Rhinolophus ferrumequinum: one gene and its partners. The protein of the gene in region 4 purifies or fractionates together with the protein of the main gene of each other region. This does not show direct contact. Links are inferred from orthologs where the notes say so. Each region holds a gene or a part of one and is shown on either strand. Other genes may lie near its edges. The genes, in order: SMYD2, FKBP4, DYRK1B and PTGES3.

Region 1 (7,668 bases), on a different chromosome or scaffold from region 4:
GCATGGACGGACGGGTCACACACAGCTCGCTTTCAGTGCCACCCCCACTGTTCTCTTGGACAAGTTATTTAACCATAGTGATTCGGGGTCTTCATCTTCAAGATGTGGTGAGGAGAATTAAGTGAGTATATATTTACAAAGTGCCCTGGTACATCAGAAGAGCTATGGAAATGTTTGTTAAAGAAAAAGAATTCTCTGGATTGTCAAGTTCTCTTCTACCTCAGTGAATTTACACCTGCAGAATCTTAAACCCATTTTGGGGGGCCTTCTTTCCCTTGGTCAATCTTTATCTTCCTTCTAGTCTTTCAGTTCCTCTGTGAAGCCTTTCTGCTCTACTTTGTTCGACTTCCTACTAAAACTTCTATTGTATTATAATTTATATTAGTTTCCTACGGCTGCTGTGACAAATTACCCCAGAATGGATGGCTTACTACAACAGATATTTATTCTCTTATGGTTCTGGAGGCTGGAAGTCTGAAATCAGCATCAATGGGCTGAACTGAAGGTGTTGGCAGGGCCACACTCATTCCAGAGGCTCTTAAGGGAAAATCTGTGACTTGCCTCTTCCGGCTTCTGGTGGCCATCTGCATTCCTTGGTCAGTGGGTACACCACTCTGGCCCTGTGATAACACTGCTGCCTCCTTGTCTGTCTGTGTGAAATCTCCTCTGCCTCTCTCTTGTCAGGACACTTGTGACTGCATTGAGGGCCAGCCCTGATAAACCAGGGTAATCATGCCACCTCAAGATTCTCAATTGAACACATCTCCAAGACTCTCTTAAACCATGAAAAGTAACGTTTACAGGTTCCAGGGATTGGGACCTAATACCTTTGGTTGCCATTCAGCAGCTACTACATAACTGTTTGCATGTAGGTTGGTCTTTTCACCTTTGTAGAACAAGGGTCTACCACAGCCTAAGCATATAATCTATAATCAATAACTGAAATACATGCAGAGGTATGCCGGTATAGGGTATAGGTCCATTGCCCACGTTTATCAGGACTTCACTTTGTTAAGGCTTGACTTCCCTAGGCCAGAGCTATTAATATTTCTTTCATGTGCTAATCTGTGATTGGAAGGAAATTTTACTCACGAATTAAACCAATTTCTAGGTTAGAGATATTAAGCAAAGGGGGCCTTTGTCCTTGTATCACCTGAGCTACAGTGAGGTGACCAAAAAACTCCATTCAAACTCCATTCCTTCCAAGCCATGGGACAGAAGGAAAAGATGGAGGGACCCTGACAGCTGGAAGGCGTCCCTACTCTTGCACGGAATGTGAGAATGTGGCGTGGCAGACTGACAAGCATGAACTGAATCAAGAGTGCTGTCATCAGTTTGCCCAGGCTGGTTTGTTGCCATTCCTTCGCCATTTATATTAAACCCAGTTTTCTTCATAATTTAAAGCTCCTCAATTCATAGCTGTTGCTTCATGACCATTTCCCCATGTCTAGTCACTGGAGTTCAGCACAAGCATTTTTCTGAAACGAGTATGTTTCTTTTCCCTTGTTCTTAAATCACAGGAATACGTGATTCACCCACAAGAACAAGTCTGTTCCAGTCACCACGTACCTGGAAAGACAACTCAGTAACCACGCTATTGTTTTTCTCAGCGGTTGGAAACCTTTCTTAATGAAAGGGGAAAAAATCAGGTACTTGCAATAAAAAAAGTAAACAAGGAGATTACTTTGCACAATTACTCCTTGTAACGTGTGTACTGTTTATAATTGTTTCTTTACTTTTATGTCATCTTTTCACCTTTGTGCTGGTTGGAGCCCCCAGAAAGCAGAAAGTTAAAAAAAACTATAGAACCCAAAAATTTATCCAAGATTTGCCTAGGTAGGCACATATTCAGAAACTTCTAAGGTTTGAGAAATTTCTTTCATTAACATATAATATCCATCTGTAATAAAACACAACAATCAGCATCGCTTTAGATAGCAGCATGACTGGCATAAAGCTCATCTATTAGAGTAGTCTGGCACCTGTTGGAGGATGTTTGGTCAGAGTAGATCCTGTAGCTTGACCAACCAGGAGAACTACTTACCTCCTAAAACCATCTCAAACATCACTCTCCCTCTAGCTCTGCTCCAGTCACTCTCTTTCATACAGATTACACCTATGGAACTTTGCACATGCTGTTCCCTCTGCTCAGAATACTTGTCCCCCCTACTCTTGATTGAATTCTGTTCATCTTTTGGATTTAGTTCAGGCATTACTTTCTGGAAAGCTTTCCCAGACTAGTGTAGATCCCCTAAGCACTGCCTTAGCACTTGAGACCATTGAGTTTGTATTTGTGTGAATATGTGATTAATGTCTGCTTCCTCCAGACCATACAAAGCTCTCTGAGAGCAGAGAATAAGTCATTAGTCAGTTTTTGTTACCATTATATCATCAGCCCTTATCACTGTCATTGGAACACAGTACACAGGTAATGAATGTTTAAATGTTGAATGAATATGTGGTGGAATCTCATGCTAGCTCTGCCCACCCCTGGGTTGTTAGGCAAGTTATTTAAATTCACAGGGTCTCACTTTTCTCATTAGTAAGAAAATGCTTCCTCCAGTCCCAAAATTCTAGGATATTTATGGTTCCTGTCTCGAGCATATAAGATTGATCCGGCTATAGTTAGCAAGCCAACATTCTGTGTTATCTGCCTGCCTATATCTCCCCATATGGAGACCATATGCCAAGCAAGAAACTGGAATTACTCTGACATACCTTTGCTTCTTTCCCTAATGCCACTACCTAATTCTGGCTTTCTTTATCTCCCATTTAAAATATTGGACATGTTCCCTTACATGCTGGTGTTCAGTCCTCTCTCCTGCCAGTCTATCTGCAAAGCTGCCAGGGAACTCAGTCTAAAACACTGGACCCCTCTGTTTAAATACTTTCAGTGACTCCCACACATCTGGGACAAAATTCACCCCATGAGAGGATGCCGTTCCACTGTTCCCCTCACCTCCTGCCCTCTCTGTCCCACTCAGAATCACACGGGGGTGGGGGAGAGGAGGGGTACGTTTACATGCTCTTCTTTCAGGCCCCCCTGCCTGTACATGCTGTTCTCTGGCTGGAAAACCATTCTCCTCTTACAGGTGCAAAGTCCCGTCCATCCTTTAGGCTCAGACCAAACCCTCACTCCCCAGGCTGAGTTTGTCATGCACTGCCTGTATTCCCACAGAACACTTTGTACAAGCTACCATAACACTTAGTAAGCTGTATTTGTTTGCAAAAGGACATTTGGGGTGAGTGCATGGGCCTCAAATTCAGACTGACCTGAAGGTGAAACCAAACTCTGCAACTTAACTGTGTGGCCTTGGGGATTATTTTGCGTCTTAGTTGCCTAATTTTGGAAATGGGAGACATACCACCTAACTCATTGGGTGGCTGTTATTATAGATTAAATGAGATACTGTGTTTCATGCACTTAGCACAAAGCCTGATCCATAATACTCAATAACTAATGGTTAATTATTAGAATGTGAATGTGTTGAATGCAAAGACCCAGGCCTGTATCTTGTCCAACTTTCTATCCTCGTGACTAGCACATAGTGGGAGCTCCCAGCGAACGCTTCTTAAATGCATAAATGAAATCGTATCCCTAACGTATTTTTCTTTACAGGCTTATTCATTTTAGGAATTTCACTTAAGTGTCAACAATTCTACGGACCTTATGACATACCCCAAATCATATGCGTCTTTCCTTTTGCTGAACTAGTCCTGAGCTTACACAGGTAACATAGTTTGAGAACAGACGAGTTTTAAGTGTTTTCTATTCTCTTTATGCTTTTAGTCTTTACTGAATGCACGTCAACTTCAGCCTTCACATAAGCCCATGGGCACACAGAGTATGTCCTCCTTTTTCATAGGAACAACCTCAACAGCACGCATGTGTACAGGACGTATGTGCCAAGCACTGTTAACATCCTCTATGAGCCGCATAACCTGACTTTTCTAACGTGACAGTCAGTGAGTGGTCCAACTCTGGCCACAGCAGGGCCTTGCCCCCAACAAGCGGCTTAAGTTCCTTGAAGGCAAGGTTATCTCTTGGCTTCCTCGGCAGCGTCTGACCTCCGCGGCCCTGTGCATTTCCTCTTCCGTCCGTGTAATTAACTCCCGCTAGAGGAGCAGAGGGATGATTATGTTCACACCGAACAAAACTCGAGAGGCTCCCTGCAAAGTTTAAAAACCTTTAAACTTAAGGAACCACCCTTAAATCCTCAGCACATCAAACTTTTCTACTGTCATTTCTCTTCCGTGTTCCCGGATGACTCCTTCTAGGGTCCCTGACGAGGACACATGCACATGAGGCTAAAAACCACCTTTGCCCCCTTCAAGTTACCAAGGACAGGTCATCCTATGGGCCAAGCCGACTGTCCAGGGGACGCCTTGGATACTTGTCCCCGTAGGCGACCCTATCCTGCCCACGGGACGGGGGACAGCGTTCCGCTGTCTCCGTGGAGACGCGGCGGAGGCGCAGACGTCTCACGTCCTCCTTCCAGGAGCCGCAAAGGCTGCAACTCTTTGTCGCGGCCACACCGGAAGCGGCCCCGAGCGCGTTCGGGGCTGCCGCCGAGGGTCCCGCGCTCGAGGCGGGACCGCGGGTCTTGTCCCCGTCCCGCCGGGGGCGCGCGAGGACCGGGCGGGGCCGTCGTCCCTTCCGGGGAGCGGTGGCCGCCGCCGCGTCGGCCGGGCTGCTTCCCACCCCGCCCCCCGCAGCTCTGGGTGACGCTTCTCCAATAACAGCTCGCGGGGAGCCGCAGCTCCGGGCTCAGCCAGCGCCGGGCGCCCCTCCGAGCCAGCCCGCCCGCCTCGCCGCCACCATGAGGGCCGAGGGATACGGCGGCCTGGAGCGCTTCAGCAGCCCGGGCAAGGGCCGGGGGCTGCGGGCCCTGCAGCCCTTCCAGGTGGGGGACTTGCTCTTCTCCTGCCCGGCCTACGCCTACGTGCTCACGGTCAACGAGAGGGGCAACCACTGCGAACACTGCTTCGCCAGGTAGGCGGCGATCGGCGGGCGGGCGGGCGGGCGGGCGGGAGCGGGGGCGCAGCGCCGCGGCTCGGACCGCGGCGGGAGGAAGTGCGCGCGGCGCGCAGGGTCCTAGCGCCGGACTCTGGGGCAGCGGCCACGGGGGGCGGGCGGGGCTTTTTAACCCCACGCGGGGCTGAGCCACCGGCGATAGGAAACCGGAGGCAAGTTCCCGCCGCATGCTCTGCCTGCATGGCACGTTTTCAGACTTGCGTACGCAGGATGTACCTGCCTGGGAGCTGGGAGGGCAGAGTCCTGCTCTCCAGCGTGAGCTCAGAGCTAGGCTTGTGCCACGCCTGGCCAGGCGCTGCCCACTCGTTGCTTTGCCAGCGGGGGCTCCAGGTACATGTGCTTCCTGCGGCTTGTTCTGTTCCCCACAGCCCAGCCCTGCCGCAGATTTGCTGTTTCCTTCAAGGAACTTAATGACACTTAACATTTCGTGTAAAGTATATGGCCCCTCTTCTTCCTTCGTAGTCTCTGCACTTTGGAGAGAAGCCAGAGGGGCGGTACCAGACCCCCGGGATTCTGAGGGTCTGCACTGATGGGATGTATCCAGCCCAGTTTTGGGACTGGGTAGACATGGTCGCTGAGGGGATTAGGCAAAATGTGTGGCATTTAATTGTAGCATATGACATGTATAAGTGTCTCTGTTCGTATATATGCATATTTATTCACATCAACACAATTATATCTTCAAGTCTTATGATAGCTTTAGACTTGAAAGGCACATTAGAAATTACCCCATGGATCCTTAGATTAAGGAACAATACTGATACTATGTCCATCAGTGTCTACATCTATAAATCTCCTACAGTTTGAAAGTACGTGTAATTACAAATAAAGCTACTATAAACAAACAAACAAAAAAAGAAATTACTAATGCGAGGTCAGAAGACACACACAGTCTGAAAGTAAAAGAATGGAAAAAGATATGGCATGAAAATGGAAACAAGGTAACTACTTATACCAGACAAAATAGACTTTAAAACAAAGGCTACAACAAGAGACAAAGTAGGACCTCATAATCCCACTTCTGGGTATTTATCTGAAGACCCCAAAACGCTACTTTGAGGAGACGTGTGCATCCATATTTTCATTGCAGCATTGTTTACAATGGCCAAGATGTGGAGGCAGCCTGGGAGTCCATCGATGGATGAATGGATAAAGAGTAGGTGGTACATGTACACAACGGAATATTGCTCGGCCAGGGAAGGGAATCGGATCTTGCCACTGTGGCAGCATGGATGGACCTGCAGGGTATTATGCTGAGTAAAGTATGTCAGACAGCAAAAGACAGATGCAATGTGATTTCACTTAAAGGTGGAATCTAAAAAGCAAAACAAACAAACAAAACAGAAACAAAGTCATATATACAGAGAACATTTTGATGGTGTTCAGACTGGGGTGGGGGGAGATGAGAGAGCAGTTGAGGATGGGTGAAAAAGGGATAAAGAAGTACGAATTGGTTGTTACAAAGTAGTCATGGAGATGTAGGGAATAGCTAAGGAATATATAAAAAAAAAAAAAAAAGAAGAAGAAATTCCCAATGCAACACTCTCTCTATTTTACAGGCAAGAAAACTAATACCCAGAGAGGAAGTGTAACTGTGTATACATAGTCACACCTACAGTTAAGAGAATGAAATCTGGTCTCTTCAATTCTGTTCATTTTCCACGTAGTTAGGTGCTCGGTAAAATTAGTGAGGCAGGAAGCATGGTTTTGGCATTAACTCTGTACCTGGCCTTCCACTACTCTCTGAGGAATGGATCCTGCTGTACTTTCTTTGAACCTCAGTTTCTTTATCTTTGAAATGGAGATTCTTGGGCTAGATGAAGTGAAGCTGATGTCCTGCAGGTACCTTTTGAATACAGGTCTCAAGTCCAGCATACGCTGAAATACTCTATCTCTGAGACCTGTGCACCTTATTCCATAATAAGACATAGTAAAAAAAAGGGACAAAAGCTAAATACTATAGTAATCTTGCCCAGACTCCCTACCAGAGCTATCTTCCGCTTGGGGGGACCTGGAAAGGAACTAGACACAGAATCATACCGTGGGCAGCTTAAGGGCTGTATGTGATGTGGCTCTTTGAATTGGTGAGCCAAGAGCTAAAGGGTCACGGCACCACTTTGCGACATGTGAGTGAAGTGAGCATTGGGTTTTCCCAAAGTTAAAAAGGCTGCTGTGACTGGTCCCCTTGATCTTCTGAGCCTTGCTGTGGCTCAGAGTCTGAAGCAGTGTGGGTGTCTAGAGTGGCAGGAGCAAAGCGGGGTCACCAGTCACAGAAGGTGCCTCCCTCCCTTCATCAGGGATCCTGGTGATTCCTGGAGTCCATCGTGTGAAAGAAGACTGCAGTGCCAGGTACATAGTAGGTACTCAGATGGTAGTACAAGTCCACTCCTCCAGTGAATTACAAATCAAAATCCCTCTGGGTTCAGAGCTTCTCTTTAGCTGTGAATCTCCTGTCTACTCCACATACCCCCAAACCTTAGAACATTAATATACAGTCAGATGCAACTTGGCAGATCACCTTGCCACGTGTGACAAAATTTGCTTTCCTCCTCCATTTTCTGAATGACTGTTTGTTAGTGTCGCTAACTGTTGCCTGAAACCCTTCACCAGGGGCGGTTCTACTGCCCCTCCTC
Region 2 (7,260 bases), about 32 Mb from region 4:
AAAAAAAGCTTCTAGAATTTTAAAAAGCAAAAATAAAAAGGAGACTATGTTTGTGACCATGGAATAGGCAAAGATTTTCTAAACAAGACACACAAAAAAACCTCTAACCAAAATTGGGCAGAAAGAAATAAAACTATCTTTAGTCACAGATGACATGATCATCCATGTATGAAATCCAAAATAACCAACAACAATAAAAAACTAATGGAATTAATAGGAATTATAGCAAGGTTGCAGGATAGAGATTTATATGCAAATCTTTGTATTTCCCATATACCAGCAATGAACAAGTGCAATTTGAAAGTAAAAACAGGATACCATTTACATTAGCACCCCCAAAATAAAATCTAATCTAACAAAGATATAAATCTAACATAATATGTACAAGATCTACATGAAGAAAAATACAAAACTCTGATGAAGGAGATCAAAGAACTAAATAAACGGGGAGAAAGTCCATTTTACTTGGATAGGAAGACTCAATATTGTCACACCATCAGTTCCTCCAAACTTGATCTATAGATTCAATGCAATCCCAATCAAAATCCCAGCAAATTATTTTGCAGATATCAACAAACTTCTAAAGCTTATATGAAGAGGCAAAAGACTCAGAATAGCAAACACAATACTGAAGGAGATAAACAAAGTTGGAGGATGGATATTACCAGACTTCAAGACTTACTACTATAAAGTGACAGCAATCAAGACAGTGTGGTTTTGGTGAAAGTATAGACAAATAGATCAGTGTCACAGAAAAGACAGGCCAGAAATAAGACTCATATAAATACAGTCAACTGAACTTTGACAAAGGAACAAAGGCAATACAATGGAGCCAACAAATGGTGCTGGAACAACTGGACATCCACAAGCAAAAAAATGCATCTAGACACAGACCTTACACCCTTGCCCAAGGACCTATGGGGTGTGTTCAATGACGAAGCTGAGATTTGAATCCAGGTAGACCCAATCCAGAGTCCATGAGCTTAATCTTTACACTATGCACGTCTCCACTGTGTGCAGGCCTCACATAAAGGTCTACTATTTTTCAAATGTATGAAAATGCAGCTGTCATCACTAAAATAAGTAAATAAATAAATGTTTCATGAAATGTATAGTAGCCGTTTTGGCCAGTGGTATAGTTTGTGTTTTCTTAGTAAACAGATACCAAACGTAGCAAGAAATTACGTAAGGATACTTACCATTTTTGGTATTACAGTTTTGACACAAATCATATTGGTAATGTTCTAATTCTTAGGTTGGGTGATATATTCCCAAGGTTCATTATGTTGGTATGTTACATAACATGTGTACTCGTATGTACATGCATATGCCTCACCTTCTTTTGAATGATTCAAATATTATATAATTTTTTACATGTTTAAGAGCACTGGTAGCCTAAGAAGGTCAAAATAGCAACTTTAAAAAAACAAGAGGGTCTTCATGTGTGAAGGACAGGCCCAGCATTAGGGAAGTGAACCAAATGAGCTCAGGAAGGCTCATTTTGGCAATAACAAAACTTCTAACCACAGCATGAGTCACCTACAGAGTAAGGTAGATGATTTAAAAAAAAAAAAAGTGTGTTATCTTTCTCTAGCAAAAGGGGAAAATTTCGGAACGATTTTGAATGTCTAGATGATACCAGTGAAAACAATTACATTGTTAAACATCTTTGATGAGAATACTAATTTAAATTAGTGTTAGGGCTGGGAAAGGGGTAAGGAAGAGGAGGGAAAGAACAAAACATCCATGCACTTTCTACATTGAATATGTGTAAGTTTTACAATCAGAAGACTATAACGTAAATAACCAGAAAAAAATTCTGGAAACAATAAGGTCCTGCTCAGAGATTCAAGAGCCCAATGCCTACTGTCCCTCTCCTCCCCCTTTCCCCTCCCAGCCCCTCATCTACTCACTCACTGAATGGGGACAGAACTTTCTCAGTGGAAACCCTTCCCTCTTGTCTTTCCCCTTTCCCTTCCACCCTATCTTCCCCCTCTCTCACAGACCTCTCTATTTTTAGCACTTTGTCCCTATCTCCACCATCACACTTATCACATGAGAATAATGACCATAATTTATTAACCACCCACTTGAAGGCGGGCATTGTGCTAGATACCTGACATACACATTCCTTCATCTTTAACCATCACCATCCTCATTGACAGACATTACTATCCCCAGAACCTGCCCCAAATCAAACAGTTAGCACGTGGGCGACCCAATTCTTTGTTTCCTCCAACACATATGCTCTTTCTACTGTTATTAAATTATGTGTTTATGCAATGGCAGGCACATCTTAAGTGCTCAATTAATGAGTGCTGGCAGGAATTAAAAGACATAGACCTATCCTGTTTGCTTCCAATAAAGAAAAAGATGCAGAAATCACTAATCTAAAGTTGAACCTTTTCTATCTCACCTTGTTATGCCAGTGGCCCTAGCATCAAAAGAAACTAGCACATGCTGAAAGCAAGTGCATAAACCAACAGCAAGATAACTGCCAAACCCACAAGCCACCACCTTACCCTCGATCCCTGACTCCTGGAGTTTTGGAGGGCCTCGGCACTGTTACTTCTTATCCTACTACGGAAAGTGTAGAAAAGAAATTGTTTTAACCCCTAGAGAGTCAATCCTCAATATCCTTTGAGGGTATCCTGTCATCTAATGAGAAACGTCTTTTTGTGGCTAAACTCATTTGCTGTAAATTGCTGGAGAAAATGGTTTTATTTCTTCAGCATCTCTTTCCAGTGAAATTCTATCAGAAAGGAGTATGATAAATTATCAAATTATGTTATGGTATTGAAGTTTCATCTGAACAGTCTTTTAATTACCTACCTAAATGGGACAGTTTGCCTATAAGAGCACAGTGCCGGGCGCATAGCGAGGGCTCCAAAAAATGTATTATTATTATTATTATTATTAATTATTGGAATACAAATGCATGTAGCCAATAATTATTTGATACCACTCACCAGGAACTATTCACCAGGAACAATGCTAAACTGGGGCTAAGTGCTGAGCAAAATTAAGACCCTCTCTACATGGATCCTTTTATCAAAAGGCTATTTTTTGGGAACTAGGTGTTGCTTTGACCCACTGCACAGATACTCTGCACTCCACAGGCAGTCAATAAACACTTAGGAACCAAATATTAAGAAGAAAATATATCTTCCCATGGGCCTTTAGTAAAATGTAATGACTTTTTTCATGAGTTGAAACCATTTTTTAAAATTTGTTATTTTTTTAGTTTCAGGTGTACAAAGCAACGGTAACAGTTAGACATTTAAACCCCTCATAAAGTGATAACCCATCCCACCCCCCAAGCTACTACCCTTGACATCTTATACAGCTGTTATAATACCATCGACTATCTTCCCTATGTTGTACTCCACATCCCGTGACTATATATACCTATATATTTAGTTATAGTTGGTATTTAGTGTTATTCTTCTTCAGCTCTTTCGGTGTATAGCACATTGGTCAGGCACGTTTTTTGTTTTTAAGTATCAGCCAAATCGACAGTTTTATTATTGTCGGGGAAGGTCCCTTTAATACGTGTCCCATTTAAGAACTCTTAGCGCAGCGAGTCATTTCTTGAATATCAGCTGCTCAGTAGCATTTTAAAGAACTGAAGGTGGCACATCTTCCCCGCTCTGGGGAAATCAAGACTGCTTTCGCCCAATTCTGTGCACTTGGGTAACCGCCACTCACTCACTGTCCCCCTATTCCGCCCCGCGAATTCCCTTCCCCTTTTTCTCCCCAATTCGGTAAGTGCACACGCGGAGTGAGCAGGGGGAGGCCATGCCGTCTGTTTACAGTCAGCTTTTATAAAAAATGCGCGCATCGGTCCCGGAGAGACCCACGCACTGCCACTTACATCCGGCTACACAGCTCTGAACAAACCACGCTGCGGGCTGCAATATATAGGGCGGATCTGGGTTGGCAGGCTAGGTACTGGAGTGATGTAGGGGCATCGAGAAGGATCTGGAAGAATCCGGTTAGACCGGGAACAGGGCGAGGGAGGGCCTGGGAGAACACGGGGCAGGGAGGGGCGGTCTCCAGAGTCCGAGGGTCCCAGGACTCGGGGGAGAGGGGCCAGGCAACCCGCAGAAGGAATGAACCAGAAATAGAAATTTTCATATAAGCGCCCTTGGCACTAGAGCCCGAACTAGATTAGCCGCCGCCGTCTCTAGAAACTTCTCCATCTCCACCCCTCCGTCCCTCGTTCCCGCTCCGACTCCTCCCAGCCCCTCCCTCCGCGGCGGGGTGGGACCAATCGCTCCCCCGGCCGCTCAGTACCCACCTACTCCGGCTCCCGCGCCGGACTCCGCTGCGGGCCGCGAGCGCACCGGGAGGCAGAGGGGCTCGAGCCTTGGACGGGTTCTCAGGTCTGCGGCCGTGGGGCCGGCGCACGCACCCCCGTGCAGAGAGGCCGGCGGCCGAGAGGGCTTGGCTCGTGCCCAGTGTCCAGCTCCCCGAGTAAACGGCGCACCGAGCGGCGATGACCGCTGAGGAGATGAAGGCGGCCGAGAGCGGGGCGCAGTCGGCACCCCTGCCCCTGGAGGGAGTGGACATCAGCCCCAAGCAGGATGAAGGAGTACTGAAGGTAAGGGCGAGGGGCGCCCGGGGAGCTCAGGGCCTGCTGGGGGCGGCCGAGCCCCGAGTGTCAATCGCAGCACTCTCCCGCCGAGCCTGGAAGCCCCGGACCGGGGAACGGGGCGGGGACCGCTGCCTCTGCAGCCTCCGGGACAGTTGTTGAGTGGTCCTGCAGCGGGCGGCCAGTTATGTCGCCTTCCTGAACTAGACTGCGTTTGGGAGCGAGAGAGCAGCCGCACGCTCGGAAAAGGGTGGCCTAGGTGCGCAGGCCTCCCCTTGGCCATTTTCCCGGCCCCCTTGAAAGCCTGTGTTCTGGGCTGAGACTCCCAGCCCCGGGGCACCCTCAGCCGTGTGGCGCCTGGGCCTGGGCAAGGGGCCGGGACTGCAACGCCAACTCCGGCGTGCGCGGTGCAGCGAGGAGGGGGGCGGGGGAGAGGGGAGGGAAGGGGCGCGGCGGCGCACGCGAGCTGCAGCTAGGGGGCCCGGGGCAGCGTGCACCCGGGGCCGGGCCTCCGCCGACGCCGCCCCTCCCTCACCTCTCTCCGACCCCGCGGGGGGGGCCAAGCTGCCAGCTCCTTCCCTGCCGGCAGCAGCGGGGAAGGTCCTGGGCCGCCTTCATCCCGGGTGGTGCGAGAGTTCGCCTATCCCTGACAGTTAAATATTAGCTAGGACCTGAAGTGGGTCTCAAGAGTAATTTCTTGGCCCAGAGGTCTGCGTGCAACTTTGGCGCCTGTCCTGGCCGCGAGGAAGGTTCTCGCGACCTCCGCCCTCTCGTTACCCCCTTTCTAAAGGCTGGGACTCAGCTAGGTCACTCGCTCAACCATGCTATCCCTCCTCCCCCCAGCCCCGGGAAAACCAGGGAGCGGTGCATGCCGGGACCTGTAGTTTCCATCGCACCTCGGCCCCCCCCTTTCTGATTTGGGGTGTGGGGTGCGGGGCCGAGAGGAGGTGCTTTGCTTGGGAGCTTGCTACTGTGTAACCGCCTGACTGCAAATAGCCAGAGGAGTGAAGGGGGAGGGGTCTGGGACTCAGGGAACAGGGCAACTTGACCTGGGTCAGGGCAACCAACTGGTTCAGAGCAGATTCTGCGGAGTCCAGGATGACGATGAAATCTCTGCCGGGATCTCATGCCCACTGCTCAACTCCACGTGTGTGTGTGACCTGGGCAAACTCAGGGAGCCTTTACCTGGTCCAGAAGTGCTTTGCCCCAATCTTGACATTTCAAGCTGTTCTCCCAATGGCGGTGTGGCTTCCCCTTCTCTCTGCAGTGTCAGGTGATTTCTACAAGGTTATCACCATCCTCCACTCTTTTCCCTTAACTTGACTCCTCAGTCCCCTGTCCATTCTATCATGGAAGCTTTCCTGAAGAGGGCAACGTCACACCTACCAGGTTGCACATGGAGTTTATCTTTTATAAATGCTGAGGGAGAGAAGCAGAAGCTTATAAGTTCCTAGGACTTACCTCACCTACCAGTCAGGAATGCTCATGTCCCAAGTGAGAGTTTGGGGTCTGATCGAGAGCCCTTGCGCTCATCTGTAACCTGGTGTATTCCTTTCCCTCTTTTTGAGTCTTCATTACTAGTACTCCTGATCTCCAAACTAGATCTTAATCTGATGACCACTGGCATTTAAGAAGAATGAGGAAACAGCATAAACAGTTCTCCCTGTGCAGCTGATAATAAATTTTACCGATTTAATCTTCCAACAGCTCTAAGAGGAATTATCATCACTACTTTACTAATAAGGTCTAGAGAGTTTGAATGACTTATCCACGATCATACAGCAAAAACTTGAACTTGGGTCTTTTGACTCCAGTTTTTCAAACCAAATCATGTCGCACCTCAAGAAAGACAGCGAGGTCAGTTGGCTTCTAGCCAAGTTCCATGTCAGAATCATTTGAGGATTGGTCCCTTGAATCTACTTACAAGGAGGCAGCAGAGTCCCTCTATGTTCCTGTCAGAGGCATGCAGGCAGTTTTGTGCCTCGTTCTATCCCCCTCCCTGGGTTCTCACCTTCTCCCCTTCCTCCAAGGTCATCAAGCGAGAGGGCACGGGCACAGAGATGCCCATGATTGGGGACCGAGTCTCAGTTCACTACACTGGCTGGCTGTTAGATGGCACCAAGTTTGACTCCAGTCTGGACCGCAAGGACAAATTCTGCTTTGACCTGGGAAAAGGTAGGCGTGGTTAGTGGCTTGGTAGGTAGACTGAGGAGAGCATACGCTGTCACAAGCAGAAACCATATTCTCAGAAGCTCACTGGAGGAGTGGTTTATAACAGTGTGTTACTTTTTTTTTCTTTTCTGTTATTCCTTTGTCTTGTAACAGTATTGATTTCTCTCATTTACCTGATCATCTCTAAATACCTCACTTCCTCTTCAGAAGTGGACTGCCTTGTTTCTTGAACTCCTTTGTTCCAGAATACAGTGATTATTATTATTATTATTATTATTATTATTATTATCATCTTTTTGAGACGTCTGAGACCTGACAGCACTTACTGTAACCAAGCTTCCTACCTTCCTGATCCCATTTCTAAAGCATGTCCCGCTTCCCTTCAGGCATAGTACTCCGGGACCACTGAGCCCAGAGTCAGAGCCCTACCAAGAAGGACCTGTTTGCTTTCTGTACCTACAGGGGAGGTCATCAAGGCTTGGGACATTGCCGTG
Region 3 (7,960 bases), on a different chromosome or scaffold from region 4:
CCCCTTTTCTCATTATCACCTGTCTCTCACCTTGCTCCCACATTTCTCTTCTCCCTGGCTTGATCTTTTCTCCTCAGCACCTGTCACTGGCTACTGTGTTGTACATGGTGTGAATCAGTTCAGTGTATATATACTTACTCCTTGAGGGGAGGGATCTCTTGTCGCCGTCACTGTGTATCCCCAGTGCCTACCGTAGTGTCTGTACATAGTATGTGCTGACACCATAAATGTTTGTGGAATGAATGCATACATCTTGCCACTGTCTGGTACGATCTTACCTGTTTATTATCTGTCGCTGCCCCTTCTCCCTGAGTCAGTAACCTCCATGAGAGGGCAGGCACTGATATCTGTCCACATTTGTCTCTTGTACAGTGATTGCGCACCCATCCCTTTGAGGGCCCTAGAGTTAAGGGCAGTGGGGTCTCACAGGAGAGTCTGGCACTGAGTTCCATCCCCATCTCTTCCTGCCCAGGAGGGAGATGACAAAATCGAGTACCGCGCCTGGAACCCCTTCCGCTCTAAGCTGGCCGCCGCGATCCTGGGAGGCGTGGACCAGATTCACATCAAGCCAGGGGCCAAAGTGCTCTACCTTGGGGCTGCGTCGGGCACCACCGTCTCTCATGTCTCTGACATCGTAGGCCCAGTGAGTGAACAGGGGTGGAGGGTGAGGAAGGGCTGGTGGGAAGGTGGGAGGGAGAGAAAGGCCACCTCCTCTGCCAGCCAGAAGCCCTGCACGGCATGGCTTGGAGCAAGGCCCTCCTCAGAGTACCTGTTAGTAAAAGGTACTTGAACTGCCTGCTCTCCAAAGCCTCATTCAGCCTCATTCCTGAGTTCTTGGCCCGGAGGGAGGGGGGCGTGAGCATTGGAGTAACCTGTGTTAGAGGGACCCAGAGCTGAGTGTACAGATACCAGATTATTTGATTTGGTTGCTGTTTAAAACAAGTGATGCTCCCAAAGTCTGGTGGTCTGGTTTCTCTTGAAAGAACAGGAGATTTCAATTTCTGGGCCAGCATTTGCTATACAGGCTCCCTGTTTAGAGGGTACCTGTGCATCTCACTTCACGACACCTAGCTTATCTGTATAACTATAGGCTGTGTAATTTAGTGGTCAGAAACCCCAGGCTCTAGTGCAGGCATTTAACAGTAACATGGCTTTCAGCAAGTTACTTAACCTCTCTGAGCCTCAGTTTACCTCTCTGGGTAAATAGGTTTGTTGTGAAGATAATTGAGTTAATTCCTATAAAGTGCTTAGAGCAATACCTGGCCTGTTGCAAATATTCTTAGCTGTTATGACTTCATCTCTGTGCCCTAGCTTCCTGGTTTTAAGCCTGTATTGGGGGCATGAGCTTTCAGATCAGGCAAAGCAGGAGTGAATAACCCTGGGCCAAGGACTTCATGAAGTCTCTGCACCTCAGTTTATTCATCTGTAAAATGGACATGGCAACAATAGTTGTTAAAAGTAGCGTTTTGATTTGGGAGTTTGAGGAGATGCTTCGTGCATTTTATGGGCCCAAAGTAGGTGCTCCACACATGAGAACTAGTATCTTCGTTATTATTTATTTTAGGATGGTCTGGTCTATGCAGTTGAGTTCTCCCACCGCTCTGGCCGGGACCTCATTAACTTGGCCAAGAAAAGGACCAATATTATTCCTGTCATCGAAGATGCTCGGCACCCCCACAAATACCGCATGCTCATCGGTGAGGGGTCTGGGGTTTGGCCCAAGTGGGGTAGGACAGGTCACTCCAGGTTTCCTGGAAGAGGCTGCCAGAGCCCTGATTTGGATGGAATTGGAGTGGATGAGCAGGCCTCTTGAGTCTGCAGGAATGCAAAGGGTGGGGGGAGCCAGGTGAGGTTGTGAAGGTGGTGGTCCTGGTTCAGGGTCTCAGATGTCTGGCACCCTCAGAGGGCCAGCCTTCTCTCCTCTGATCTCTTGCCCCTCTCCCTAGCGCCCCCATACTTCCTACCTCCCTCTAAAAAATGGTGCTTTTACACTGCCCCTGGCCTTTGTGTAAAAGCCTCCCTCCAAAGTCCTCTTCTCATCATCTGGTGAGATTATAACCCAGAAAGCACAAACTGAGTGTGGCCTGGTTCGGAGCGGCCCATTGTGAATATTAATGACTGTTTTTTTGAAAAACTTCGGAAGCATATTGTAAAAATGGAATGCTTTATAAATCACCCCTAGGTAATTTATATGAACAGTTTGATGTCTGCTCTTCCCAATTTAAAAAGTCAGTTTCCTTACACCATCTTTTCATTTTTTTAAGTTTTTTTTTTTTAAGTCACACTGCCTTAAAAAATACTACTTTGCATTCTGCTGGTTTTTCTTTTGTTGAGTTTTTTTCCATGCACTCATACCACACCCTTTGTCCTGCAACTTGTTTTCATCTGACAATCCTGCAGACGCTCTTGCCTGTAAGTGCTCATCTTTACTTGCCTTTTTGATGACGTGTCTGTCTCCCCCCCAGACCCGGGAGCGTCTCGAGGGCAGGGTCCGGGTCTGACTCGTCTCTCTGTCCCCCACGCCCGGCCCGGGGCTGGCCACAGAGTAGGTGGCAACCATGGTTTATAAGAGGCGTGAATGAATGGTGTGATTGTGGGTTTTGGTTTATCTTGGGGGTACCGTGGAGGGAGGGGGGTCAGTGGGGGGAAGTGAGACTGGAGGCAGGAAAGACTTTACCAGGAACCTAGTGGTGACGGGGCACAGGCCCCATGGGAGGAGCTGGGAAGATCCAGTGGACCCAGCTTTTAACTTCCACTTTTTTCTCCCTAGCAATGGTAGATGTGATCTTTGCCGATGTGGCCCAGCCAGACCAGACCCGAATAGTAGCCCTGAATGCCCACACCTTCCTACGAAATGGAGGACACTTTGTGATTTCCATTAAGGTGCGGGGCTTCATATCTTTTCTATCAGTAATTGCCAAGCAGCCAGTCAAAGCAAGGGAGCCTCCATCCCTCCGAATCCAGTCTATTCCCAGCCTCTATCCCAACCCTTCTCCCTATAAGTCATCCTCTGCCCCCAAATAGCACATAATGAAAAATTTCTGCAAAACTAGCAGCTTTGGATTTAAAGAGGCAATAGAATGTAGTGGGGAAGTGCACGATCACCAAGTCTGACCATCTGAGTTGAAATTCCAGTTTGCTTTGTCACTTTGAATAAGTTACTTGTGTGCCTATTTCTAGACTTGTAAAATAGAAATATTAGTCCTATTTTTTAGTGTTGATGTAAGGATTAAATTTATCAACATGTGAAGTGTTTAGAACAGAGCCTGGTATAGAATACTAGATAAATACTAGGTGCATGTTAAAAAACATTTCATTTTGAAATACAGTGAACTTCCTTGTGTGCCCTTCCACCAGATTCACCATTTTGTTAAGATTTCTGCTACATTTGTTTTCATATTCTCAGCTTCATTATTACTTTTAGAGAAGAGGAAATAGAAGGGGAAAAAAAACCCGAGTAAAAAATTCAAACACTGACATTTAAATAAATAGGGCTCTGTTGAAGGTTTCCTTTTCCAAATCTAGACCAAACTGAAAATTTCCAAAACCTGAGTGAGTTTCACCATTTCCAGTAAAATAAATACTTCCGGTTTAAAGAGCACACACACACATAAAATAACCCAAAACCTCGCTGTAGACTTCAAATCCTCTTTCCTCTCTAGGCCAACTGCATTGACTCCACAGCCTCTGCGGAGGCAGTGTTTGCCTCTGAAGTGAAAAAGATGCAACAGGAGAACATGAAGCCCCAGGAGCAGTTAACCCTAGAGCCATACGAAAGAGACCACGCTGTGGTCGTGGGTGTGTACAGGTGAGCAGAAGACCCAGTATTCCGCCAGGACAGACATTTGTCCCCTACGCTCAGAGCCACGCGGGTCAGTACTTAGGAGTGCCTGCACAGTGGTGACAAGCTGTGACGCTCCTTATATTCTTCTTCTCGCAGGCCACCTCCCAAGGTGAAGAACTGAAGCCCAGAACCCATCTGGATTGTGAGAGATTGTGTTGCTACTGTTACACGTGTGTTTTTCTATTAAAAGACTCATCTGTCGCTCCTGTCTGGTCAGCTGATTGCTTGGCGACCTCTAGTGACAATAGGGCGCAGGCGCCCTTGGTCGACTTGCGCGGTGTGGGGGTGGACATTCTCATCCGGGTACACAGCGCATGCTACCTCTTGCACCGCTGTAACCCGGCTTCGGCGCTTGGGAGGGGTTGGTAGCTCACTGCGCTTATGTGCCGGTGAGCTCGGATGAGCGCAGGCGCGGAGTGTTGCCCTGGGTCACGTGAGAGGGAGCAGATGGGGCTGTGGGGGCGGAGCCTGGGGCGGGGGGGGGGCCGGTTTGTTGTGGTCGCCATTTTGCTGGTTGCATTACTGGGTAATCAGGGCCCTGGCTCGCCGCGTCCGCCAGATACCTTCAGCCACTTGGCAGGTCTGAGCTCGGGCTTCCCGAGCAGTTTGAGTCCCCTTGCCCGCGCTCTCAGGTAACGACGCGGCTACGGACCGCGCAGCTCGCGCTCGCGGTAGGGGGAGCAGTACGGGACCCGCCCTGCCCGCGTCGCTGCGAGAGTTAGCACGAGGCCGAGGGAGGAGAGGAGGGGAGCGGCGGGCTGGTGCAGGCCGTGCCTGGCTATTCATAGTCGGATTCCTGGAAGGGGCCGAGCCCTAGGGAGCTGTCCTTGGAGGGGGTAGCGGGGCCCCGCTCCCGCCCTTTGTTTGGGCTCAGCTCTGCCGGCCGCATCGCCGTTGCCTAGCAACAGCAGCCCTGGACTGTGATTGGTTGAGCTCTTCGCAGCAGCGACCAATGGCACGGTTGTTGCCATGGCAGGTGTGGACTGCCAAGTTCAGGCCGACCCCGCGGGCCGGGGCGGGCCGCTAGGGTGGGGGGCGGGCCGCCGGTGTCCCCGGGGGCGGGTGGCTGCGCGGGGCGGGGCCGGCGGGGCGAGGGTTAACCCACCCCTCCCCCGTCCACCTGCTTTTCCTTACCCCCGCGTGCCCCGGGCTGACCCTCGTCCCCTCCTTTTCCCTCCCCCAGCGGCGGCGGCGGCGGCTGCTGCTGTTGTCACCCACCGGGCCGCCTGTCCCGCTTGCCCTCCCCGCTGCGGGGCTTGCCGGGCCGGCCGGGCCGGGACAGGCGGCCGTCTCCTCACCGCCGCCATGCTGGCTGCTCGCCCACCCCACTGGGGGCCCCACCGCGCCCCAGCCCCTCGTGGGCCCCGCGCCAGCCCTGACCCGGGTACGGGGTGGGGACTGGGAGAGACGGTCCTGGTGTGGGAGGGCCCCGGGAAAGAGATTGTTTTGGGGGGGGGCCTCCAAGAGAGAGGAGGGGTCGTGGAGTGGCAAGGTTTGGCATAAAAGAAAAGGACTGACAGGAGGGAAGGCCTGTGGGAGGATTTTGGTGTGGCAGATACTCTGGGAGGAAAGAACTCTGATATTTGGGGAATTTGGCTGTGGGGGCCTTCGAGGAATGGGCACAGTTGTGGATCGACTGGAGTGGAGCAGACTGACTGGAGAAAGGCCCCTGGTAGGAATGCTGGATTGGGAGGAGGTGGGCAGGATCCAGTGTAGGGGAGAGAAGGACGATCACTAAACCGTGGGAAGAGGCGCTCGGCTTCCCCTTTGTGCCCATCAGGAGTGGGCCTTGACTGGGAGGGGGCCTTGGACTAATACCGGGGAGAGCTGCGTTGTGGCACGAGGGAACTGGAATATGGTGTGGAGAAACTAGATGGAGGGGTGGCCCCTGAGGTGGGAGGGAATAATATGGAGAAGAGGTCTTGGCATAGAAGGGTGTGCCCTTGTGGGTGAGAGGGCCATAGGGGTAGGAGTCTGATATGGAGGGGTTCTCAGATAACAGTGGTCAGGAAGTCCCCAAGGACCCTGATGTGGTTTTAGGGGCCTGCAGAGGACTTTGCTATGGTTTGGCAGGGGCACAGAGGACTCTCATGTGGTTTGGGGGATACCCTAGAGTTCTCTGGATTGGGAGGTCTTCTGGGAAGGCAGATCTTGAAGCAGAGGGACCTTGCTGTGATAAGAGATGACACCCTTACTTTCGAGGAAGACTGCAGGAGGGCAGGATCGTGTGTGAGGGGGCTCTGGGGAGGGCTGCAAGTGGAAATGGAGTGAACCCTGTTCCCTATACTGTCTGTGGTTTCTGTCTTTCTCCTCTCTTCCTGCCCCCAATTGTTGGTGTCTTTCTGTCCTTTCCTGTCATGACCCATATCCTGCCTGCGCCTAATCACTCCTTTTCACATGTCCCTCTTTGTGCTGCCTACCTCATTTATTTGGTAATCATTTGTTGAGGGACTCCACTGTGCTTTCCCTACCGTTCACCTGGCCACTTCTCTCTGTCCCCTCTCTGCATTGTCAACTGTTGCTCTGCTGCACCCCTTTCCTTCTCCCTTTGTGCCCTGCCCTCTAATGTTCACCTCTTTCCTGCCTGGCATTGTCCCACACATCCCCTGTTCCGTGTTGTTCCCCCGCCTCCCGCCTGCTCTCAGGTCTCAGCGGCGGTGGCAGCCGAGGTGCAGGATGCGAGAAGGCGCCCCCCGGCCGGGCTCCCGCTCCAGGCCTCGCTCCCCTGCGGCCCTCTGAGCCCACCATGGCCGTTCCACCGGGCCATGGTCCCTTCTCTGGCTTCCCTGGGCCCCAGGAGCACACGCAGGTACGCGTTCAGCTGGCTCCTCACCTGCCTGGGGTCGGGGGAGGCTGGGGATAGAAGGGTGCTGGGGCCAAAAGACAGTATGATTGCCCAGGACAGTTTCCCAGGGGCATGAAGGGCCCCATGGGAGTGGAAGATAATAGAAGAGCTGCTGGCAGAGTCAGGGTTTGGAGGGCCTGAGTTCAAATCCAGACTGGTGGTAAAATTACTTAGGTTCTCCATGCTTCAGTTTTCTGATCTGTAAAATGGGGGCAATAATGATACCTACCTCACAGGGTTGTTGTGAGGATTAAACGGGTTAATGAAATGCATGTAAAATGCTGAGGACAGTGCCTGGCACATAGTAAACAATAAATGTTCACTAAGAAAAAAAAAGTCTAGAATGAAAGATCTGAGGGGGTGAATGGGGAGGAAGGTTGAGCCTGAAGGGTCTCAGAGCCAGCAGGGCCTGCGGGTACAGGGTGAAGATCTTCAAGGGGAGAGAATGTTAAGGCTCGGAAATACAGTTTGGAGTGGGAGGTCCTGGGTGCTGGATCCAGAGCAAAAGACCCTTGAGGTGAAAGAACGGGGCAAAGAATGAGGTGTGAACATTGGGAAATCCCCAGGGGATGAGGGTAAAACCAGACGGGGGCCCTCAAGGTGGGATACCCAGAATGGATGGTGTCAGGCGAAAGATTGGGGAGCAGAGCCCAGGTTTTCTATGTGAGCTCTCACACTGAGTTTCAGAAAGAGTAAATGTGTGTGATGATTTACCCAGCCAATCTCTAGTGATCATCCACTACGTGCCAGGCTCTGCTCCCGGCCCCGGAGATACAGCAAGAACAGGACAAAGCCTCTGCCCCTGGGGACTTTCTCTGCTAGTGGGGTTGTCAGACAGTGACCACATAAATATGCGTGTGGTAACAATGAACCAGCTGCCCATATAGTTCTCCCCCTGAGGTTGGAGGTGAAGGTCTGTCCTCAGTGCCCACCGCTCACCCCGCCCAGCAGGTACTCCCTGATGTGCGGCTCTTGCCGCGGAGGCTCCCCCTGGCCTTCCGGGATTCGACCTCGGCCCCACTGCGCAAGCTCTCCGTGGACCTCATCAAGACCTACAAGCACATCAATGAGGTGGGCTGGGGTGGGGGGCCCAGGTTGGGTGCTGAGGGGTCCTGGCTGCTGGCACAGCTCACTTACCAGTCCTCATCTCCTGGCTGGCCGGCCGGGCAGGTCTACTATGCGAAGAAGAAACGGCGGGCCCAGCAGGCACCCCCTCAGGACTCAAGCACCAAGAAGGAGAAGAAGGTCCTGAACCACGGTTATGACGACGA
Region 4 (7,314 bases):
ACCTTGGTGTATCAGTGTCTCACAGCTGTGTTCATGTGGACGTGTGGCGGTGTCTTGCTGAGTGGCGTTCATTATTGTTCTGTGTTTTTGTGCACCGTCACAAGAATGTCTGAGCTTGAATTAGAGCAACCAACAAACATTTTTTGTTTTACAGGACTTTATTGGGGAACAGTGTGTACTTCCAGGACTTTTTCTAAGTCAAGTTGTTGTTCTTTCAATCTTATTTGTGGAGGGTACAGCTCAGCTCCAGGTCCAGTTGCCATTGTTAGTTGCAGGGGGTCCGCCCCCAGTTGAACCAGCAACCTTGTGGTTGAGAGGACACGCTCCAACCAACTGAGCCATCTGGGAGCTCAGCGGCAGCTCAGCTCAAGGTGCCATGTTCAATCTTAGTTGCAGGGGGCGCTGCCCACCATCCCTTGTGGGAGTCGAGGAATTGAACTGGCAACCTTGTGATTGAGAGCCCACTGGCCCATGTGGGAATTTAACCAGCAGCCTTTGGCGTTAAGAGAATGGAGCTCCAACCGCCTGAGATATTGGGCTGGCCAAGAACAAACATTAAATTCCTTGTTAAACTTGGCAAGAGTGTAAGTGAAATCAGGGACATGTCCAAGTTTATGGGGATAATTCCGTGAAGGAAACGGAGGTATACAAATGGATTAAACGTTTTTCTGAGGGGAGAGAACGCCTCATTGATGAAGAGCGGTCAGGGCAGGCAATAACTAGCAGAACTAACAAAAACATTGCAAAAATTCATCAAATTGTGCACCAAAATCACTGGCTGACTGTGAAAAACATAGCAGACCAAGTAAACATTGATAGACAAATAGTATCGGCGGCCGGTTAGCTCAGTTGGTTAGAGCGTGGTGCTCTTAACAAGGTTGCTCTTTCGATCCCCACATGGGCCACTTGTGAGCTGCGCCCTCCACAACTAGACTGAAACAACTACTTGGCTTGGAGCTGATGGGTCCTGGGAAAAACACACTTAAATAAATAAAAGTTTAAAAAGAAACAGTTAGGAAAATCTTAACTGAAAATCTTGGCATGAGAAAGGTGTGTGCTAAAATGGTCCCAAAGGAGCTCACTGATGAATAAAAGCAAAGGAGAGTTGAAGTTTGCCAAGACCTTTTGGAGAGGCAAGACGATGTTTTGGGCTGTGTTATCACTGGTGATGGAACATGGGTGTACCAATACGACCCTGAAACAAAGTGTCAACGTGCACAATGGAAGTCAGACCATTCTCTGCTACCAAAAAAGTTCTGTCAGTCCAAATGAAGAATCGAAACGATGTTGCTAACCTTTTTTGATATCAGAGGGATTATTCATTATGAATTTGTACCAACTGGACAAACAGCTAACCAAGTGTACTATTTGGAAGTGCTAAAAAAATTGCGTGAAAAAGTTAGACGAAAACAACCTGAACTTTTTGCCAACAATTCATGGTTCTGCATTATGACAATGCACCAGCTCACATGGCACTGTCTGTGAGGGAGTTTTTAGCCAGTAAACAAATAACTGTATTGGATACAGTTAACCTCCCTAACTCACCTAATCTGGCCCCCAATGACTTCTTTACCTCAAGATAAAGCAAATATTGAAAGGAAGACATTTTGATGATATTCAGGATATAGGGTAATATGACAACTCTGATGGCCATTCCGGAGAGTTCCAAAATTGCTTTGAAGGGTGGACTGGGCGCTGGCATTGGTGTATAGATTCCCAAGGGGAATACTTCGAAGGTGACTGTAGTGATATTCAGCAATGAGGTATATAGCACTTTTTCTAGGATGAGTTTGCGAACTTAAGTGTCAGACCTCATACATGTTTGAATCTAGATTTGGGGCCCTACTAGAAACAGAACTTGTTAGTGAATGTGAAAAAACAAAAACAAGAACCTGGTACAACTTGGGTCCCCACCAGCTAATGGTTGTGATAACATGCAAAGCCATGGATAAACCTGATAACTACAGTATTTGTGCAACTTCTGGGTGAGTAGCCATTTCCAGAGTTACACTAACATGAACCCACTTGAAATATGCCCAACAGGGGTATACAATATGAATTCGGAAGCAACAGGTCTGAATTTTCAAAAACTTCTTTTCTGAAAGCCAGTTTTTGGGGCCCGCCCAGTGGCTCAGGCGGTTAGAGCTCCATGCTCCTAACTCCGAAGGCTGCTGGTTCGATTCTCACATGGGCCAGTGGGCTCTCAACCACAAGGTTGCCAGTTCAATTCTTCGAGTCCCGCAAGGGATGGTGGGCAGCACCCCCTGCAACTAAAATTGAACACGGCACCTTGAGCTGAGCTGCCTTTCAGATGGCTCAGTTGGTTGGAGCGCATCCTCTCAACCACAAAGTTGCCGGTTTGACTCCCACAAGGGATGTTGGGGGTGCGCCCACTGCAACTAAGATTGAGCTGAGCTGCCGCTGAGCTCCCAGATGGCTCAGTTGGTTGGAATGTGTCCTCTCAACCACAAGGTTGCCGGTTCGACTCCCGCAAGGGATGGTGGGCTGTGCCCCCTGCAACTAGCAACGGCAACTGGACCTGGAGCTAAGCTGTGCCCTCCACAACTAAGACTGAAAGGACAACAACTTGAAGCTGAACGGCACCCTCTACAACTAAGATTGAAAGGACAACCACTTGACTTGGAAAAAAAAGTCCTGGAAGTACACACTGTTCCCCAATAAAGTCCTGTTCCCTTGCCCCAATAAAATCTTTAAAAAAAAGTTTATAAAAAAAAAAATTTAAAACATGATTCTCCCACAAATATAAAATTAACGTGAGCCAGACATTTAACTTATTGACAGAACCAGTAAGATGGTAAAGCTGGTTCCAGGAGCATTTAAGGAAGTAGGTATTTATAGGCATAAAAATAAATAGAATAAGGTAATAAGTTAAAGGAAACTGTCTTACAGAGCAACAAAACCGTAACTTTGGGGTTAGCTTTTCTGTCAGTCAGAAGTCTACAACTTAACAAGTAACTTCACAATATTTGAGCTCCAATCATGTATTGAATAGCAAAGTCAAACGCAGGTATCTCCCTCCTAGAGACTAATCATTGGGCAAACAGGTTAAACCACATCCCTGTATGAACTGAAAGGTCATCCCTCTACTCCTTGCCTATTTCCATATTTTGGGTAATTTTTATTAAGGAGGCCTGTCCTAATTGTTCCAGTCAATATCGGTATCTCCTCCTTTCGACCTCTCCTCCTTTCATTCTCCCACTACTTTTTGTACTCCCATTATCCTGATTTGTGTATTTATTTCCCCTAACAGGCAGTAGGCTCCTTAGAATCACTATTTGAGAGCTGGGATTTAACTTTCCATTTTAACAGGATTTGGGCACAGGGTCCAGTTGTTCCCAATACCTGCCTTGCACAGCATAGACACTAAATCCTTTTTTAAAAAAATTTATTCTAAGTGTATTTTTCCAGGATCCATTAGCTCCAAATTAGGTAGTTATTTCAATAGAGCTGTGGAGGGCACGCAGCTCACGGGTGGCCCATGAGGGGATCAAACGCGCATCCTTAAGAGCACTGTGCTCTAACCCACCACCCAGGACACTGCTTAATGTTTAATATGAAACCCCCACTTTCTCCAAAAACGTCTTATAGCACTTTCCATAAACCTCCTTTGTATTCTACCTAGGGATGCACTGTATTTCTTCCTTACTCCATTGTTAAACGCGGCCTTCTGGAGTAGGCATGTACTGTTTTGATTCTTGGTTATTATCCTGCATTGCCCTGCACAAAGCCGCAGTGCACTTGGAGAGATCGGTTGAAAACAGATGGGGAACACTCTTCCCCAACTGATGTGCCTGGAGACACGACTGTTCTAGTCCATTCCACAAACCTTGGCTCTCCACTTAAATAATCTTCCTGTCTCACCTACAGTACTAATCTCTCGAAGCAGGGGCAAATGCTCGCCCCCCAATGGCAAACGTTCCTCCTCAAAGGCCTCAAATTTCTGTTGCCCCTGGGCAGGGTCTCCAATCTTCAGAAAAATGGCGAAGTGGACCGAGGCCCTCGAGTCTGAAGTTAGCCCTTTTTCGCAAGTATCACCAGCGAAAGGCGCTCTTTTCAAATCTTTATGCGGTGGACGTATCCTTAGTGAGCTGATGGGGTTCCCTCCACAGTAACCAATCCCCCATTTCACTTTCCAAGCCTCCCGCCTCCGTGCGTCCCTCCACCTCAACCTTCCTCCCGCTGTCAACGCATCAGTCTCCCGGGTAGGTCGCCCAACGCGCGTGGCAAGGCAGTTAGGTGGCCAACGGTTTTCTAACGCGAGAAGGGAGCGCGGGAGGAGAGGCGGGAACAAGTCAGGCCGGAGGGCGGGGGCGAAGGGCGGGGCTTGCGCCGGGAAGGATCGCGAACGAGCTGGGAGGCCCCGCCCTTTCCGTAGATATCTCTAGAAAGCCGGGCCGGAGCCTGAAAACAAAGAGTGCGCAGGCGCGGCGGCAGGGCCCGGGCATTTTGCTGCGTCACCAGCCGCCGCCCGGCCTCACCAGCCCTCGCTCGCACGCACGCACGTTCATTCTCCGTCCTCGCGTCCCTTTTCCTACACTTTCCTCTTCTCCCCGACCGGAGGAGCCGCTCTGTCCGCGCGGTGCATTCTGGGGACCCAGGTCGAACCCTCCGCCGCCCTCGTCTGAGAGAAGCGAGAAGAGGCCGCACCGGGGAGAAAACGCCGGAGTCGGCACCGGAGAGGAGTCGATTGCCCAGCAGCTGCCACCGGAGAGGCCCGCCCACCCGTTTACCCGTCCCCCTGCCCCGTTCACGATGTGAGTGCGACACCCGCCAAGGGATGGTCGCCCCAGAGGGAGGCCGAGGCCACGCTGGGGGTTGCCGGAAAGCGCCCCCTCTCCTTCCCCGCTTTCGGCCCCTCAGTTTTCTCCCCTCCGTGGTGGCAGTCGTTCTTGCCTAGGGGTGGGAGGTCCAGTATCCTTTTTCCGGTTACCGTTGGCGGGTGGAGGACATTTTTCCTCCAGATGTCCGCTTCCCCCACCTCTAAACCGTCCTTCAGCTTCCCATGCCGGAAATCCCACTTTTTTCCCCTGGGCTGTTCGGGTCGCTCCTAACTCTCCGGAACTTAGCTGTAGGCCTTAATCTCCTGTGAGCTTTTTGCCATGCGGCGCCCTGGAGGCGTGGACCGTCTTGGATTGCTACTTCGTTTCTTGGGCGTTCTGGTTCTGCCGCTCTCAGATGCCGGTCCTGGGCCAAGTGCACCTGTGGTGGGTGCTACCAGAGGCCGGTGGTGCTCCTCGTAGAGCACCACGCGGCCCTCCACCGTGAGCGACAAGGGACTGCTAGGCAACCGGAGGGAGGCCAAATCGTCACCACAACTCATTTCTCACGGGTGCCGTGATTTCGCGAGTGGGCGGGGGGCTTTCCAGGCCGCCTCCTAGCTCCGGTCTCTCGAAGAGAGTGAAGGTTGCCTAAACTCAGTCGTGTCCCTGGCAGCGAGGAGTTATACCATAGAACAGGTAGTTCTGCACGTGTCGAGTCGAAGGATAGTTGTGGACATTTTTCAGTGTTCTGTTAAACTTTGTGCGAGGTTTCATGATCCTATCTTAATTTAAGTTTGAAATAGGTATATAACTGCCTTGTTTTAAAGAACTTAAATGTGTTTACGTGGGGGTAACTACAGATTCTTTTTTTATGGTGTAGGAAAACCTTGGTGATTGTAACCGAGGAAGAATTCTTGGCACTGCCGCTTCCGCGCTTTCACATTCTCCTCAGGAAAAGTTTTTACCTTTTCAGATGTGAGAACTGCAGGTTTTATAGGTTTGGGGTTTTTTTGTTTTTTGTTTTTTAACTGCTCTCCTTTTTAACGGAGAGCAATAGAAGGGGAACAATTTTTATTCCTATAAAAAGTAATGCACTTTCAATTTCATTTAAAATAATAACTGACGGTGAGTATATTGGGCTAGAATTTTAAATGGAAAGGATACACTCTGAGTTGATGTCGGAGAACAAGCCTCTAGAAGAACACATGTATTACTGTAAAGGGGATATATTAGCATTTTGGAAGGATTTCCCCCTCTAAAAGTGGTATCTAATAGATTTTGATCTATGTAAAATAGCTTTTGTTTTTCCCTTTGAAATCTCTTCTAAACAATGTAGCAGGATTGTCAATCTTAAAATATGAGTACAAAATGAATACTCAGAGCATTACCAACTTTTAATAGACTAATGTAGCCAAATATATCTTTTCACAAAGAAATACCATATTTAGTATGGTTTGAAATAGAAGTTTTCTAGAGATCATATAAAATAAAGTAGGTAAGACACGTTATGTAAGTGGATTAAAAGTGTAACAACCAATACCAAAAGCCTTCTATGTAGTTTATAAGAATGCTACTTCAAAATGAGTGTTTTGAAGAGGCCAGATAATTTCATCCTCTTTAAAATATTCAGTATATGTCACCTTGCAAATTCTTTAGGGGATCTTACTGAACTAATAATGACTTGAATGAATTTACAAGGTGAATATTATGAGTCAGTTGCTTAGTTGCAAAAAAACATTTAATGGGTCATCCAGTCCTAGGAAGAATCTGTCTGATAATGGTCTGATAATCATTTTGTTGATGTCTGCTATAAAAATTTTTTTAGATATGGAGAGAGACATTTATGCTGGATATATTAAGGGTTTTAGGGTCTGTTTTTTCTTACTGAATTCTCTTTAGTAGCGATTTTGTAGGTAAGTTTCTTCTAATCAAATTTTTAAAGTTTTGTCTAGTAGTTTACATAAAAGCCATCAATCTCTCACCTACCTTGGAGATGGCTAGGATTTTAGGACCTCCCTTTGCCCATTTAAGACAAGCCCAGCCAAAGCCTCTGGGGGGTGGGGCGCGGGCACTACTTGTTTTTTTTTTTAAATTAGCTCTTGTTGGTTCTAATTCTAAATTGGACCATAACAATTGGACCCATAAACAATAGATACAAAGAAAATGTTTTATTAATTTTGAGCTATTTGAAGTCATTCTTTCTGGAGTCTGGTACTTAATAAATTGTCCAGAAACATACTGTGACTATTTAACATCGGTTAAAATCTTTCTTCCTTTGCCATCACTCCACTTTATAAGATTGAGACCCCAAAATAAAATCAGTCTTTAGCCTCCAAAACAGTTTGTAATAGTGAACATGTGCTAGATAGTTAATTTCTGTAAGTTAAGGAAGAGTAACTGATGATGGCCTTTGTTAAGTGTTGATTTCCTAACCACTGTAACTTGGCAACTGGATTTACTTTTTTCTTAGTTAGACTTTAACTAGAATGCAGTAGAAACTGGAATGGACAAATCACTTGAGTGCAGACCAGTG

Evidence for each region.
Region 1: the proteins of PTGES3 (region 4) and SMYD2 purify together in Homo sapiens (affinity purification with mass spectrometry; 3 studies listed by BioGRID and IntAct, with this or other methods). This does not show direct contact. The link is inferred for Rhinolophus ferrumequinum from reciprocal best matches to the Homo sapiens genes PTGES3 and SMYD2.
Region 2: the proteins of PTGES3 (region 4) and FKBP4 purify together in Homo sapiens (affinity purification with mass spectrometry; 3 studies listed by BioGRID and IntAct, with this or other methods). This does not show direct contact. The link is inferred for Rhinolophus ferrumequinum from reciprocal best matches to the Homo sapiens genes PTGES3 and FKBP4.
Region 3: the proteins of PTGES3 (region 4) and DYRK1B purify together in Homo sapiens (affinity purification with mass spectrometry; 3 studies listed by BioGRID and IntAct, with this or other methods). This does not show direct contact. The link is inferred for Rhinolophus ferrumequinum from reciprocal best matches to the Homo sapiens genes PTGES3 and DYRK1B.

The regions. Positions count from the first base shown.
Region 1 is NC_046305.1:18,452,922-18,460,589, reverse strand, and holds the start of SMYD2 (N-lysine methyltransferase SMYD2), read left to right. Parts: upstream 1-4,657; 5' UTR 4,658-4,820; coding exon 4,821-4,993; intron 4,994-7,668. UniProt on the Homo sapiens protein: Protein-lysine N-methyltransferase that methylates both histones and non-histone proteins, including p53/TP53 and RB1. Specifically trimethylates histone H3 'Lys-4' (H3K4me3) in vivo. The activity requires interaction with HSP90alpha.
Region 2 is NC_046293.1:87,936,798-87,944,057, reverse strand, and holds the start of FKBP4 (peptidyl-prolyl cis-trans isomerase FKBP4), read left to right. Parts: upstream 1-4,250; 5' UTR 4,251-4,498; coding exon 4,499-4,603; intron 4,604-6,624; coding exon 6,625-6,769; intron 6,770-7,228; coding exon 7,229-7,260. UniProt on the Homo sapiens protein: Immunophilin protein with PPIase and co-chaperone activities. Component of steroid receptors heterocomplexes through interaction with heat-shock protein 90 (HSP90).
Region 3 is NC_046298.1:38,800,067-38,808,026, reverse strand, and holds the start of DYRK1B (dual specificity tyrosine-phosphorylation-regulated kinase 1B), read left to right. Parts: upstream 1-4,946; 5' UTR 4,947-5,149; coding exon 5,150-5,228; intron 5,229-6,489; coding exon 6,490-6,653; intron 6,654-7,637; coding exon 7,638-7,760; intron 7,761-7,859; coding exon 7,860-7,960. Other genes in the region: FBL (rRNA 2'-O-methyltransferase fibrillarin), read left to right, coding at 473-643, 1,565-1,697, 2,771-2,883, 3,663-3,808, 3,941-3,965.
Region 4 is NC_046293.1:55,858,966-55,866,279, reverse strand, and holds the start of PTGES3 (prostaglandin E synthase 3), read left to right. Parts: upstream 1-4,297; 5' UTR 4,298-4,773; coding exon 4,774-4,775; intron 4,776-7,314. UniProt on the Homo sapiens protein: Cytosolic prostaglandin synthase that catalyzes the oxidoreduction of prostaglandin endoperoxide H2 (PGH2) to prostaglandin E2 (PGE2).